Lytechinus pictus: one gene and its partner. The protein of the gene in region 2 purifies or fractionates together with the protein of the main gene of each other region. This does not show direct contact. Links are inferred from orthologs where the notes say so. Each region holds a gene or a part of one and is shown on either strand. Other genes may lie near its edges.

Region 1 (7,243 bases), on a different chromosome or scaffold from region 2:
TAAATAAGAAACACATCGGTCTAATCTTCACGGACCCTCATTTAGTATTGGGGAAGGTTTGATGAAAATCCACCAAAGTATAAAGTTATGAATTATTGAAGTTTCTATTTTATGATAAGAGACAAGCATGCAAATCCTCCGTATATTGTGTATATAAATACAAAACAAGTTTCTATCTTTAAAAATGAAAGTGTTTTTTATTTGTGTGGTAGATAATAAACAGTTGTGATCAAACATTTGTGAACCCCGCAACAAAATAAATGCACTCCTGTGTTGAATGTAGACAACAACACCACAATGTCTGGCGAGCGCCCCCCCCCCCCAAAAAAAAGAAGCTTTATTGAATGTAATATTTTATCACCTGACTTCACAATTAACTATCGAAAACGTGGAAGAACTTGAACTCTTTTTAATTATTCCAAAACTACTCAACGACAAATATAATTTCTCATCTTCTAAATATCAGAAAATGATTGAGAATACAATACACTGTATACATTTCAAGGATTAAAATTAATTCATATCGGCTGTAAATAGTGACCAAACGAATTAACTTTTAAATCTCAAAACTATCTATTAAAAGTGATCAGGATTAACTCTTAAATCTAAAAACTGTTCAAATATTTTAGCTTTATTCAATCCGGACGGTTGAATACGAAAAACTAATATTCGGTTGGATCTATTTTTTATTTTATTTAGAGTATACAGGCCATACAAAATCATACATAGTAATAGTATTTCTTTTCAATGAATCAGTAACTAATCTATTTTTATTTAATATAAGTATATACAGGAGCGGCGCCGTCTTTTGATACTGGGGCTAAGATGACATACAGTATGTTGGGGTTGTTGGTGTTCTTTTTTTTCCTTCTTCTTCTCATCCTCGATCCTCCTCCCCCTCCTTCCAACCATCCGTCTTCTTCTCCTCTTCCTACTCCTCCTTCTCCCTCTCCCTTCCTTTCTTCCTCCTTCCTTCCTTCCTAAAATCCTTCCTCCTCCATCACTCCTCCCCGAGCTAGCTCCTCCTCGTTGTTCTTCTTCTCCCCCCCCCCCTGCATGCTCCTCTTCTTCTTCTCTTTCTTCTATTTCTTCCGTTTTCATTGTTTTTTATATATTCTTTTTCTCATCTGTTTTTTTTTTCTTCACTATTAATTTTTGCACTATTTGCCCCTGAAAATGTATGGTAAATGCCTTGTTCAATTTCAAATCTGGATACAGATCAATGTGTTGATGAGATGCTTTTGTCTGGAACCCGGTCTGGAAACTACAATATCCCCCTCTTACGTTAGTTTTTTTTGCAAAATACGAAACTTTCTTTTATTTCCAAGAGTACCACGTGCACGGAATTAAATTATTTCCATAGATGCCCCATAGAATTAAAGATTGTGAATTGTGCGTGATATTTCACTTTATTACAGGGAACGTAAAATTAAGCATGACTGCCTAATTATTGCCATGCATTATGTTTACATTGCATTTTCATCCTTGAACAGCCGGCCCCGATCGTCGTAACATATCATTTGGGTACCGCGGGGGCCCCGGGTACATGCACCCTTTTAATTGATAGTTTGGTACATTAATTATTGTGCTTGTTAATATTCACATTTTAACAGTTCATGCCCGGTCTTTCTATGGAGAAATCTTCAATGTCCTCACTATGATCAGATCCGCACGCCCTTTTCAATCTGTGACGATCACGAGTCTATATGCGCGTGCGGCGAACACAGTAATTTTCCCGTTGTTCGCAGAACGCCCCTTATACCCACCCATATATTATGTGTTATCAATCCCCACACAAAATTATTATATTAAACGCAATGAAGGAGTATCTCTGAAATAGCTCAGACTTGTTTTATTTAATCAATTTGGTAATATTATATCGGTTCAGAAAATAAACTACATTAGACTTCATTCCAATTAACGTTCCCACGATACTTAGTTTAATTAGATTCGAAATTTGAAATACACAATTTTTGTTACTTTTTCCCATTATCTTGTCGGTCACCGATTCCGAAATGTTCCGATTTTTACTGAGTGACAAAATACGGAACTGAGCCAAAAAAGACTGCAGCAAATGAAAAAAGTTCTACGGGTCTCGCTTTGTCATGACTTTAATTAATAATTAATTTAAACTGTTTCAAAGTTTCTGTAAACAAGATTTAATAAAAAGTTAGGTGAGAGCTTTAAATCAAAATAATTCTTTTTTGGAGGTATGGTTTCTTCCCTATAAGGCTATATTATATCGATTCAGAAAATAAACTACATACATTAAGACTTCATTTTAATTAATAACGTTCCCATTTTTTATACTTAGTTTAATTAGGTTCGAAATTTGAAATACACAATTATATTGTTACCTTTTCCCAGACTTCTCGGTCACCGAAGTGTTCCGAATTTTAATGAGTGACAAAATACGAAACCGAGTAAAAAAAATGCAGCAAATGAACATGATTAAGCTTTAGCAAATAATTCAATTGCAAATAAAGTTAATCTAAGGATCTTGCTTTGTCATGACTTATTTCAAAGTTTCTGTAAGCGAGATAAAAAAAGTTATGCGAGAGATTAATCAAAATGATTCTTTCTTGGAGATTTGGTGGCTCTGATAAGAGCCGTTTGGTAAATAAGGCGCAAACCAAATTTACTTGGATGTGGTGTACTTGGTGACGGCCTTGGTGCCCTCAGAGACGGCGTGTTTGGCCAATTCACCGGGGAGGAGGAGACGGACAGCGGTCTGAACCTCACGGCTGCTGATGGTGGACTTCTTGTTGTAGTGGGCAAGACGGGATGCCTCACCGGCGATGCGCTCGAAGACATCGTTGACGAAGCTGTTCATGATGGACATGGCACGGCTTGAGATACCAGTGTCGGGGTGAACCTGCTTCAGAACTTTGTAGATGTAGATTCCGTAGCTTTCCTTTCGCTTCCTCCTCCTCTTCTTGTCTCCGCTAGGCCTGGGGGCCTTAGCCTTCTTCGATCCCTTCTTTCCAGCGGTCTGAGCTTTGGCAGGCATGACGATTAAGATTCTTACGAATACTGACAATCAACTGAATGCGACGAGTATTTATATCAAACGCTGGGTCCGAAAGCACCGGGTGCGTATGTAAATTAGGACCGTGTGCGCTCTAGCGTTCGCCAATCAAGACCAGCGAGTGACCCAGAGCTGTGTAGTGCGCAAGCGCTGTTCAATTACGTATGCAAATAGAGGTGGCGGGGATACCCAACGGTTTTACCCTTTGTTCGGTTGTTGAGTGGTGTATAAAAAACATATAGCTCCATGATAAAAAAAGGTAGAGTGGTATATAATGTGTGAAATATTAAACGCTATGCATATTCTTTTTAAATGCATTGAAGTTATTTCATTTATGAAATGTCAAACGAAATGATTTTATCAAGTCATATATCAAATTTATCGAAGCACACATGCAGGGTTCTGCAGTTATTGTGTATTTGTGATATCTTCTATTTCTTAAAACTTTTGTCGACATGACTGTTTTTTAAAACTTCATTTTTTATTTATGTATGGGCTTATGTTTTAAATTTAAGTATCACAACACAAGTTTCATGTTGTTTTTGTCTTTTTTACTTCTCGACGGTCTTGTCCACAATCATGTATCGGAAGGGCTACTATTACCAATACTATAGGCCTATAATACATGTTCACTTTGAATAAATGTTTAATTGACTGAAGTCATATTGGAAAGATCGAGCTATATATTTTGAGAAATTTCATTTTCAATCATGTGATCAGATAAGAACATTTTAAATTCGTCTAGGTTTTGGAAGATTTCGTCAACTGGATTTGGAGGTACACCAAAGAAGACACTACTTGAAACCCTGGGATTCTTGAAACCAAAATTCTTAATTAGATTCATAATGTTGTATGCTATAATGGCCTTATTACATTGGTCGATCAGCTAGATTTACCAACAATTTTTGGCAGGACCAAAGAAACTAGAATTCATATATTTTGGCCAATAATTAAGTCTATAAACCTTGATCAAAACTAAAAAACAGTATCTTAATTGTATCAAGGTCATGAAATCGTCACTAATTTCATCATTATCAATATTTTTGGTAGTGATAAAAACTGGGTTGTATGTCAGACAAAAGTCCCGATCGAGAGATGGGTCACATACTGCATGGCAAATTTCAGATTTTATACACGTAACATGCTCACTCGGGAGATTTTTTTTTATATAGCCCAAACATGTCAAAAATTAATGATTGATATTTGGAGTCAAAATGGGCTATGCATATAGTTTACGTATAAGATTCATGGCCGCGTGCGTACAAAACATCGCCGAATCTATGAAGTAGGAGAATTTTGCACTCCTGTAGCGTTAAAATGGCGCCGAAGTGAAAATTTAGCTTTGAACAAAATTATCATGCTGTTTTTCGATTTTATTAAAAGGCAAATTTGCAGTTAATGGCAAAGGAATAAACTGGCCTTTATACATGTTATATGTTTTCACCAACCCCAGTTAGTATATTTGGCCCGATATTTGGTCGCATTTCATAAGTTGGGTATGCAAAAAGCCAAGTGTGGCGGATGAACAATTTTCCCCACGTTGCCTTGGATAAATTGTTACTACATCAGATCTTGACCAAATTTATTGAGTATAAGATCTTATTTTGAAGCTAGAACTATAGGCTAAACATATTACTATTAATTAGATCAGTACAATATCAGAAACAAAAACTATATAGCACGTAAAGTTTGAAGTAACAGGGGTGGCGGAGCCGGTGGATGCGGTGAATGATGGAATGTTAATTAAATAACAACTTGATATAATAATTATGTAATATGTTTCTAGGCATTTTAAAATCAGGGAACAACTAAATGTTATATAAAATTGACAATTTTGAAAATATGAAGGAATGAAATACATGTGTATGTCAGCTCTGATCTGCAACCTAATCATTAGTAAACTGGAGATATTTGGTTGATTATCTAATTTGTAAACTTAATTTTTAGTACAAACGTTGTGTAATATCATTGCAACAAACATTTATACCAATGATGTAGTCATTTTTCCAAGCATATACATTGGGGCAAAAATGTTAAATTAAATATTGTTAATTAATTAGTGTACTTAATATGCATATAATAACAGATAATTATTTGATTTTTTTTGTTACAGATTTAATTATTAATGTTTCAAGATTAAAAGTGCAAAATATTATAGGGTGATCCAATGTTGCAGTAACTTTTGACACCATTTTATGTGCAGCAGGTCCAATTTGAGAAAAATCCATTTCAAAATTCATATTTACATCGACTTCTATGTAGTAATTAGCTGATTAGTCATTTTAAGGAAAAAATAAGGTATTTGAGACTTAAAGGACAAGTCCACCCCAACAAAAAGTTGATTTGAATAAAAAGAGAAAAATCCAACAAGCATAACACTGAAAATTTCATCAAAATCGGATGTAAAATAAGAAAGTTATGACATTTTAAAGTTTCGCTTAATTTCACAAAACAGTTATATGCACATCCTGGCTGGTATGCAAATGAGGAGACTATGACGTCATCCACTCACTATTTCTTTTGTATTTTATTACACGAAATATGAAATATTCTAATTTTCTCCTCATTGTCAAGTGATACAACGATTAATTCCTCCCTGAACAGGTGAAATTAGCATTGTTTAATACTATATGGTTCAGTCAAGTTGGTCCTTATTGTCAAATCTATAACAAATTAAATATTGTATAATTCAAACAATAAAAAACAAAAGAAAAAGTGAGTGATGGACATCATCGACTGACTCACCTATTTGTGCATATCACTGTTTTGTGAAAAATAAGTGAAACTTTAAAATGTCATAACTTTCTAATTTTACATCCGATTTTGATGAAATTTTCAGCACTATGCTAGTTTGATTTTTCTCTTTTTATTCAAGTCAGCATTTTCCTGGGGTGGACTTGACCTTTAAAACTTTGTCATTATTTACAGAATGGTAATACCTATAACATATCATTTTTTTGGACCAATTTTACCGTTCGCGAAATTGGACCACCTTATGACATGCGACCATTTGCATGAGAAGTGTAGGTTTTTGCATGGACCTATTGCGTAATAGGTCCATGGTTTTTGTAATAGGTTTATCACCGTTTTTCTTCTTTCTCTCTGAAATTCAACTGGGAATCGTCGCGTGTGCCTGTAATCCAAGTCACGTCTGCGTCTTTCGGGCGTCAAGATTACAGGTCTGACAATGGACCTATGTATATTGGCCGTGTGGGTCTATAACTATTGTTTTATTGCGCTTCACTGCTAAAATATTGGAACGGTAACCGTTTTTGTTCTTGGGAATTAAGAATTTTTTTTAAACATCCAATCTCATTGGAATTCTAGTGAGCGACTACAGGGAAGTTTACTTTAGGATTAAAAAAAAATACCCTACGGATATGATCTAAACTATAGACTATAGTAAAGTCTGATTAAAGACAATATTGCCTTATTGGAACCAAATGGAAGCCTTAGCTGTGGTGTGTTCATTAATTTAATTTCTTCCCAACCCTCTCACTAGGGCCCGTACATAATTATAACACATAAAGAGACATTCAAATTGTTTCTTTCTTGAATATTTGGTGGCTCTGAAAAGAGCCGGTTTTGTTGATGGGTTTGAAGAGATGAACTTCTTAACCTCCGAATCCGTAGAGGGTACGTCCCTGCCTCTTCAGGGCGTAGACGACGTCCATGGCGGTGACGGTCTTCCTCTTAGCGTGCTCGCAGTAGGTGACGGCATCACGGATAACATTCTCAAGGAAGACCTTGAGGACACCACGGGTCTCTTCGTAGATGAGACCACTGATACGCTTGACACCACCACGGCGGGCAAGACGACGGATGGCTGGCTTGGTGATTCCTTGGATGTTATCACGCAAGACCTTGCGATGACGCTTGGCGCCTCCCTTTCCGAGTCCTTTACCTCCTTTACCACGTCCAGACATGATTAGATTTCTTTAGTATCGACGAGTCGAATTGACGTGGTAGGATTTCGACCAGTATATATACCCCTATTCCGGACGTCGAAGGAATAGTAATGCTCTCTGGATCAATGAGCTCTCTCTGTTCATCAAACGTAGAGGGCGATATTTTAAAACATGTTATTTGCATCCGTGTATCAACGGTATCTTGAAGTAGCAATGTAGTACTAAAATACATGAGTTATAATGCTCGAAATGTTAGAATTAGCAAAAATGTTGTAAACGCACAGTACAAATGACAGTTTCGCATTGT
Region 2 (6,929 bases):
GAACAAATTTAAGTACGAAGATGCCTCGGTTGCTAGTGATGTTATTTGAATGAGGGGATAACATTTTCACATATGATCTTAAATCAGCATACCATCATGTGGAAATTTTGAAAAACATAGGAAATATCTAGGTTTTTGTTTGGAGTTCCATGGTCAGAAGAGATACTTTGTCTTGAATGTACTACCCTTCGGTATATCTACCGCTGGTTAGATCTACATCTTCACAAAGTTAACCAGAGGTCACAAGGAAAGAAGGTCTTGTTCCAAGAAATTGTTACAAGAAATTTTGAAATGACTGAAAAATAGACACAAATTGGGGGGAAAAAAAAGAAAAGGGGTGGGACAACTCGGCTCGCAGTCCGACTTGTCCCGACCCCAATATATCATAACCTTGTTCATTGAGTGGTTGTGATCAATGGAAAATGACAATTTGAAAAAATCAATCATTTGTCCCTAAGAACAAGAGATAATAATAAGCCCAAAATTGCCAACCTTATTTCTCCACATAACCGAGAACAAGGCTATATCATAACCTTGTTCATTGAACGAGTGCCCACGGCCCGGTGGAGCCCCGTGTTAGGTATGGTAGTGTATTCTTTACACCTCTTCACCAGACCTCTGGAACCTCTGGAAATGAAAAATTGTATTCTGTGATAAAAAAAAAGTATTTTCCCCCCAAAAAATGTATCTCACAATAAAATGCGTGGCATGCACGCTCATCGAGGCGCTCAAGCTGCATGCAAGCTTAAATGCACACTGCTCTTGCAGATGAAAAAAACAACATTGAAACACGTGTATATCTCACCCTGGTTTTAACAAAATGATTGAAAAAAAAAAACCAAGTTACCTGAAATTACATTGTGTAAGTTTTATGAAAATCATATTTTTAAAAGAAAAAACGTACTGTCCTGACCAGTCTTATTTTGATTGCAAAAAACATACTAAATACGTACTGGTTGGCAGCTCTGCTACACCTATATTTCAGTGCTTTGAAAATGACAATTAGAGGAAATACATTCAAGAAAAATTCGCACTTGCTAGTTGCTATTCCAATTACGAAAATTATGAATATAAATTTATTTGATATTTACCAACTGTTTCTTTGCATCGCACTTGCTGCATACCCCTCCACGAAAAACAATAATGTTTGTGCGTGACAAATTACATCATGATTCTGAACGCGCGCCGGACGGGTAAAGATATTCTTGATTATAATGATGTAAGAACAAATTTGTGTGATTTTTTCTTCTTATATCATATCATGAGTAAATTCTAAGTTTTTGTTTGCTGTTCTTATATCGATTCTGAGCAGATGTTGGTAATAAATTCGTGTTTGATAACTTACTTTATTTTTTCTTGTTAGATGCATGTTTCATGGAACTTTCCAATATTATGCTCGTTCGTATCGTGACGCTCATCAAGTTCTATCGATGCGCTGCCGATCGTCGACGGCTCTATACTCACAAAGTCACGGTAAACCTCGCGCACGGGTACCTTGAGAACTAGCCATCGACGATCACCCATTTTTTTACACCACACCTCATCATTCGATCGAAGGAGCGGACGAGATTGAAATTCGGCAGATCAGACCCATATTTCCGTTAGAAAATATATCAATTGTTAATGCAAAACTATGTTATTTGATATTTTAAGCATTTTCTGTCATTTTAGAGATAATAAGTTAAAAGTTGGATTTTTTTCGCCTTGTTTTTGCAATCCTGTTCTATGTATTGCTCTGTGAAACTGAATTGCGGAAGTCTTACCGTACGAAATGGTTTTCGAACGCAGTAATATGCGCGTCCGGAATTATAATAGTGTCACTCCTAGTACCAATGAGGTCCAACATTACATGTATGGACCTCATAGGCGACATCAGTAGTATTTTTGGTTAGAAATCTCTGAGAACAGGATATTTAAACATTATATCACAAGTACAAGCTATAATTCCTTTCTCTTATTTAAATTATAATTTTATAGTGTAAATGCATCGTTAGCAACAACAAAAAATGAAAGAAATGAAGGGGAACTTACATTTTCACGGCTTTTTCCTGATTTTCTGGGCAGCTGCTCTTCTCTTCTGACTCGCGATCGAAGCTGATATGAAGATCACGTGATTCGCGTTCTCGTCAGCTGATCGGTTGGTTATTCTTTTCGTCAGACGTTAATAATATATATTTTATAATGCTAGCATTCATCGCTAATTTAGGTGAAAGAGATTGAAGTTAAACAGCGCCAGGTCGGAATCATAATTATTTTGGAAGAGTGTATTTATACACTCGATCTCATACCTGACGTAGACGGCGCTATTCAACAAATGCACAATCTTCAATATAAAAAATAAAACAGAAAGAACGCCTTGAACACAGGCCAAAATGCCTAACGATTTCTCCGCGGCATTAACAACTATCGTAAAGGGCGCTCCATTTATCAATAAAGATGGACGCTAAGCTGTCTATGGCGACAAAATTTGCCGCAAATATTTACGAAGAATTGTGAGAAATGGTCTGAAAATGCAACAAAAGAACCGGTGAGTACCGATTAAACATTATTAAATTTGTAAATAGATTATACATACCTTGTAGATTTAGTTTTTAAGGTGATATTAGTGCTTAGTTCTAAGCTAGGGAGGCCCAAACGCGCGTGAGTGGAGTCCCAGTTTATTAGCACGGGTAAGTATTGGGGTGTCGCCTAGAGTGAATAGTGTCCGGTAATACAATACGTGACTATACTAATTACTATATTACTATAGCGACTACTAGGCCTACGAGAGAATGCACATGTGGGACCGTATTCCAACAAAGCTTGCATTTCACGGATTTCACGTGCGATCTTTCAACAATTCTTGAAATATCGGAGTAAGAAAGAGATTACAAAAGTATTACAAAATACAAATTAACGTATCTCTCCGCATAATACATGCAGGATAAAAATAAAAATGAAATATTCACATAAAACATAGCATTTACCTTCCGAAAACTTTGTCTTGACAGGTGCCATGGTCGGTCTTTGACATCAATTGACCTTTTACCTTGACGCTACGCTGCGCTATTTTTAGCGATAGCTGCCTAGCTGGGCCGCGGGCCGCGAGCGCTAGCTCGCTGCGTGTATGTGCAGGTAATCGTGAAGGAAAACAATTTTTTTGGAGGTGGAGGGGGGGGGGGGGGGGTCCGTTTACAACAAGTAATATATCTCTATGTCATATACTACTTATCAATCATCATGTGGCTCGGTCAAATAATATAATCTCTGATTTCTTATTATGGGACTTCAAAAAAATAGCCTATAATGAATAATAATAATAACAATAATAATATTAATGATGATAACAATAATAATAATAACAATAATACTACTGCTACTACTACTAATAATAATGATAATAATGCTAACAATAATAATAATAATAATAATAATTATAATAGGCCTATATATATTCTTTCCTCCTCTCCCCTCCTCCCCCCCCCCTCTCTCTCTCTCACTAGCTATAGCTACGTACGCGCATACTGTTTTTATCATGACGCAATTTCAAATCTTGATCCTAACTTGACAAAGCCCTATGGGCGAAAATTCGTGAAATTTCTTTCGTTATAACGACTTACGGAGTTTATTTCATCTTGAGTTTATTCTATTGACTGACTCCGAGCAGAACTTAGGGCCCTCTTCTTCTGTCTTGTGGTGTACGTGTTGGCAACCAGTCAAAAAATGACTATTTTTGCCACTGCTTTGATTTGGAGCCTTCTTGAGAGGAAGCTTCTTTCCCCACGGGACCTAGGAAGCGGGGGTGCTGCCCCCATATTTTCCCAGGGGATATGCTGCGTGTATTATTATTCATAGGCAGCACCCCCTGAATTCTGGTATAGGTGTGTCAATTAGATAAATATATGTAAAATTTCGTGTTGAAACTAACCTTTTTATTTTTTTTGCTTGTCAGACTTCTTTGAACCAAAACGACCTTCATTTTGTAACTGACCCCCCCTTTTTGACTTAATTTACTTCAGCACCATTAGTATCCCGCAATTATATTAGTAACCATCTGGAATGAAATTATTGGAAATGGTTTTTGGACTGATTTGAGTAGGTATATGGGTGATGTCAACATTTACCAAAAAAGTTAGGAGGAATACGGGTTGGGGAAAGTCTGTGGGATTTTTCAAGGTCAAAGGTCAATGACCTTTTCAAATATACTGTATAATGGTAGCTCCCAGATAAAATATTACAGGTTGGTGATCATGGTGTCAAAATGCACAGCTAGATTCTTAAAAGAAGATCAAATAAAATCAAATTAAGCACCTAAAATGCTCATTCACCCATGAAATTCAAGGTCAAAGCCTTTCAAAGGTCAATGACCTTTATTATATACATTATACCATACGGTACTCTGAGATGAAAAGGTGCAGGTTGGTGATCTTAATTGGCGTCAAAATGCAGAGGTTCTAACAGGAAGATCAAATAAAATAAAATAGTGTACCTAGAATGCACATTAAACAATAGCATTCAAGGTCAAAGCCTTTCAAAGGTCAATTACCCTTTTTTACATTACGTATCATAGGCTACTGTATAATAGTATCTTTGAGATTGAACGGCACAGCTAGGCCCGGGGGGGGGGCACTCGACCAAAAAAGTGGAAGGGGTGTGCCGCGGGCGAGACAAAAAACGGGGGCCTTGGAGCGGGCTCATTGTAAAAAGGAGGGTCCTCGGAACGAGCTTCGGAACTACAAATGTTTGTGAAAACGGGGGTCCTTGGAACGGGTCGCCTGCGTGCGAGTGCGTATGCATCCCTATGGAACGTACATGGAGCTAATCCGGCGGCACGACGGACAGCGAGCTGCGGCCGCTTTTCACCAAAATTGCGACCGGAACGGCGTAACGGAAAATACGCGAAGCCCTGGAGCGGATTTTTTTCTTCTTTTTTCTCGAGAAGAAGAAAATGCTATGCTCTGGAGCGGCTTTCTTTGTTCTTTTTCTCAATAAGACAAAAATGCTGTGCCTCGGAACGGAAATTTGAGTGTAATGGGGGTCCCCTCCGCGGCACATACCCACTATGCATTATATACTGAGTGCCCCCCCGGGCAGCTAGGTTGGTGATCGTCGTGTCAAAATGCACAGCTTATTACAGGAAGGACAAATAAGATAAAGTTAATCACCTAGAATGCATATTAATCCATAAAGTTCAAGGTCAAAAGGTCAATGACCTTTTTACATAGGATATATATCGTATAATGATATATCTGAGATAAAACACTGCATGTTGGTGATTTTGGTGCCAAAAGCAATTTTGCAAGAATATATAAAAAGGCAAAAAATAATCATAAAGAATAATCATTCACTTCTGATATCCAAAGTCAAAGGTCAAAAGTTAATAAATATCTATATTACATAGCTTATGTAGGTTCGAATCAGTGATAGGTCAATACGCCATCACGTGATCATAGCTGCGAGGATCGCATTTGGTATATTCGAGGTTTTGACGTCACCTCAGTGAATATAACTGCGTTGTATTTTCAATTGCGGCGTTATATTCACTAAGGTGACGTCACTCGCTGCTTACAAGTTGCGTTATCATGTAGTTTATTTGATGTACGCGCTAGTGTTAAAGGGATGGTCCGCGCTGAAAATATTTATATTATTTATTTATAATACATAGAGTAGAATTCACTGAGCAAAATGCCGAAAATTTCATCAAAATCGGATAACAAATAATAAAGTTATTGAAGTTTAAAGTTTAGCAATATTCTGTGAAATCAGTAGTCATGAATATTCATTAGGTGGGATGATGATGTCACATCTCCACTTTCCGCTTTCTTATGTTATTACATAACATCATATTTTTTTCATTATTTCATACTTGTGTGAATAATAATGTCTCCCTTATAATGAAATAAGTTGCAGCAATAAATATCTAATGCACTAAATCATTTGTCAATCCAATTTTTCTAGTTCTTGGAGGAAAAAATTTGAATAAACCTAATTTCATATAATAAAATACAAAAGAACAAGTGGGAATGTGACATCATCAGTCCACCTAATGAATATTCATGACGACTATTTTCACAAAATATTGCTAAACTTTAAAATTCAATAACTTTGTTATTTGTTATCCGATTTTGATGAAATTTTCAGCATTTTGCTCAGTGAATTCTACTCTTTTTATTAAGCTATAAATACTTTCAGCCCGGACCATCCCTTTAATGCGTCGATTGCATGAAGAACGCGCTTGATGTATTTTCCAATTTTTTTCTATTATGACGTAGACGGATCAGAGCTGTAGCAAGAATTTCGGGTTGGGGCCAGATGATGAAGGCAATTAATCTCTGATCCATATAGACTATATAATATGACAGATATTGCCTGGACTATCGTTTTAATAAATAACATTTCAACTCCCCTCCGAAGCTATATTTTTCCCTCGGGAGAATATTTTCCCTCAGCGCTGCGCGCTTCGGGCAAAATATAATCCCTTTGGAAAAATATAACTCCGTCGGGGAGAGGAAATGTTATATTCAAACTCTAGGTAGGCAATATCTGTATAACATATCCATGCATGATTCCCCCAAAAAAGAAATTAATCCATTATATTCACATTTTATTTGTAAAAAATAGAACGAAAGGTGGCTATTTGTAATGAAAACCTGGAAGTTCAATAATTTCACTCTGAAATATAAGGATAAATAATGGCCATGAAAAATATATTTAGGGGTTAGAGGTCAATCAACTATTTCAATAACGTCAGGGTATTATATTTAAGTAAATAGGTCGATAACTTGATTGTGGCATGTACATGTACAGGGGCGGATCCAGCTTCCGCCAATAGGGGGGGGGGCCGAATTTTTTTCACCCATATTTTCCGCGATCGTCCGCTCAAAGTTGATTTTTGTTTGTTTCTCTGAAGGGGTTGTCCCAGTGGCGTAATGAGCAAAAAAAAATTGGGG

Evidence for each region. The genes of interacting proteins can lie anywhere in the genome.
Region 1: the proteins of mortality factor 4-like protein 1 (region 2) and late histone H2B.L3 purify together in Homo sapiens (affinity purification with mass spectrometry, with the first as the bait; 3 studies listed by BioGRID). This does not show direct contact. The link is inferred for Lytechinus pictus from reciprocal best matches to the Homo sapiens genes MORF4L1 and H2BC21.

The regions. Positions count from the first base shown.
Region 1 is NC_087254.1:16,320,872-16,328,114, forward strand, and holds the start of late histone H2B.L3, read right to left. Parts: upstream 3,055-7,243; 5' UTR 3,011-3,054; coding exon 2,643-3,010; intron 1-2,642. Other genes in the region: histone H4, read right to left, coding at 6,643-6,954. UniProt on the Homo sapiens protein: Core component of nucleosome. Nucleosomes wrap and compact DNA into chromatin, limiting DNA accessibility to the cellular machineries which require DNA as a template.
Region 2 is NC_087249.1:20,518,476-20,525,404, reverse strand, and holds the start of mortality factor 4-like protein 1, read right to left. Parts: upstream 3,058-6,929; 5' UTR 2,998-3,057; coding exon 2,967-2,997; intron 1-2,966. UniProt on the Homo sapiens protein: Component of the NuA4 histone acetyltransferase (HAT) complex which is involved in transcriptional activation of select genes principally by acetylation of nucleosomal histones H4 and H2A.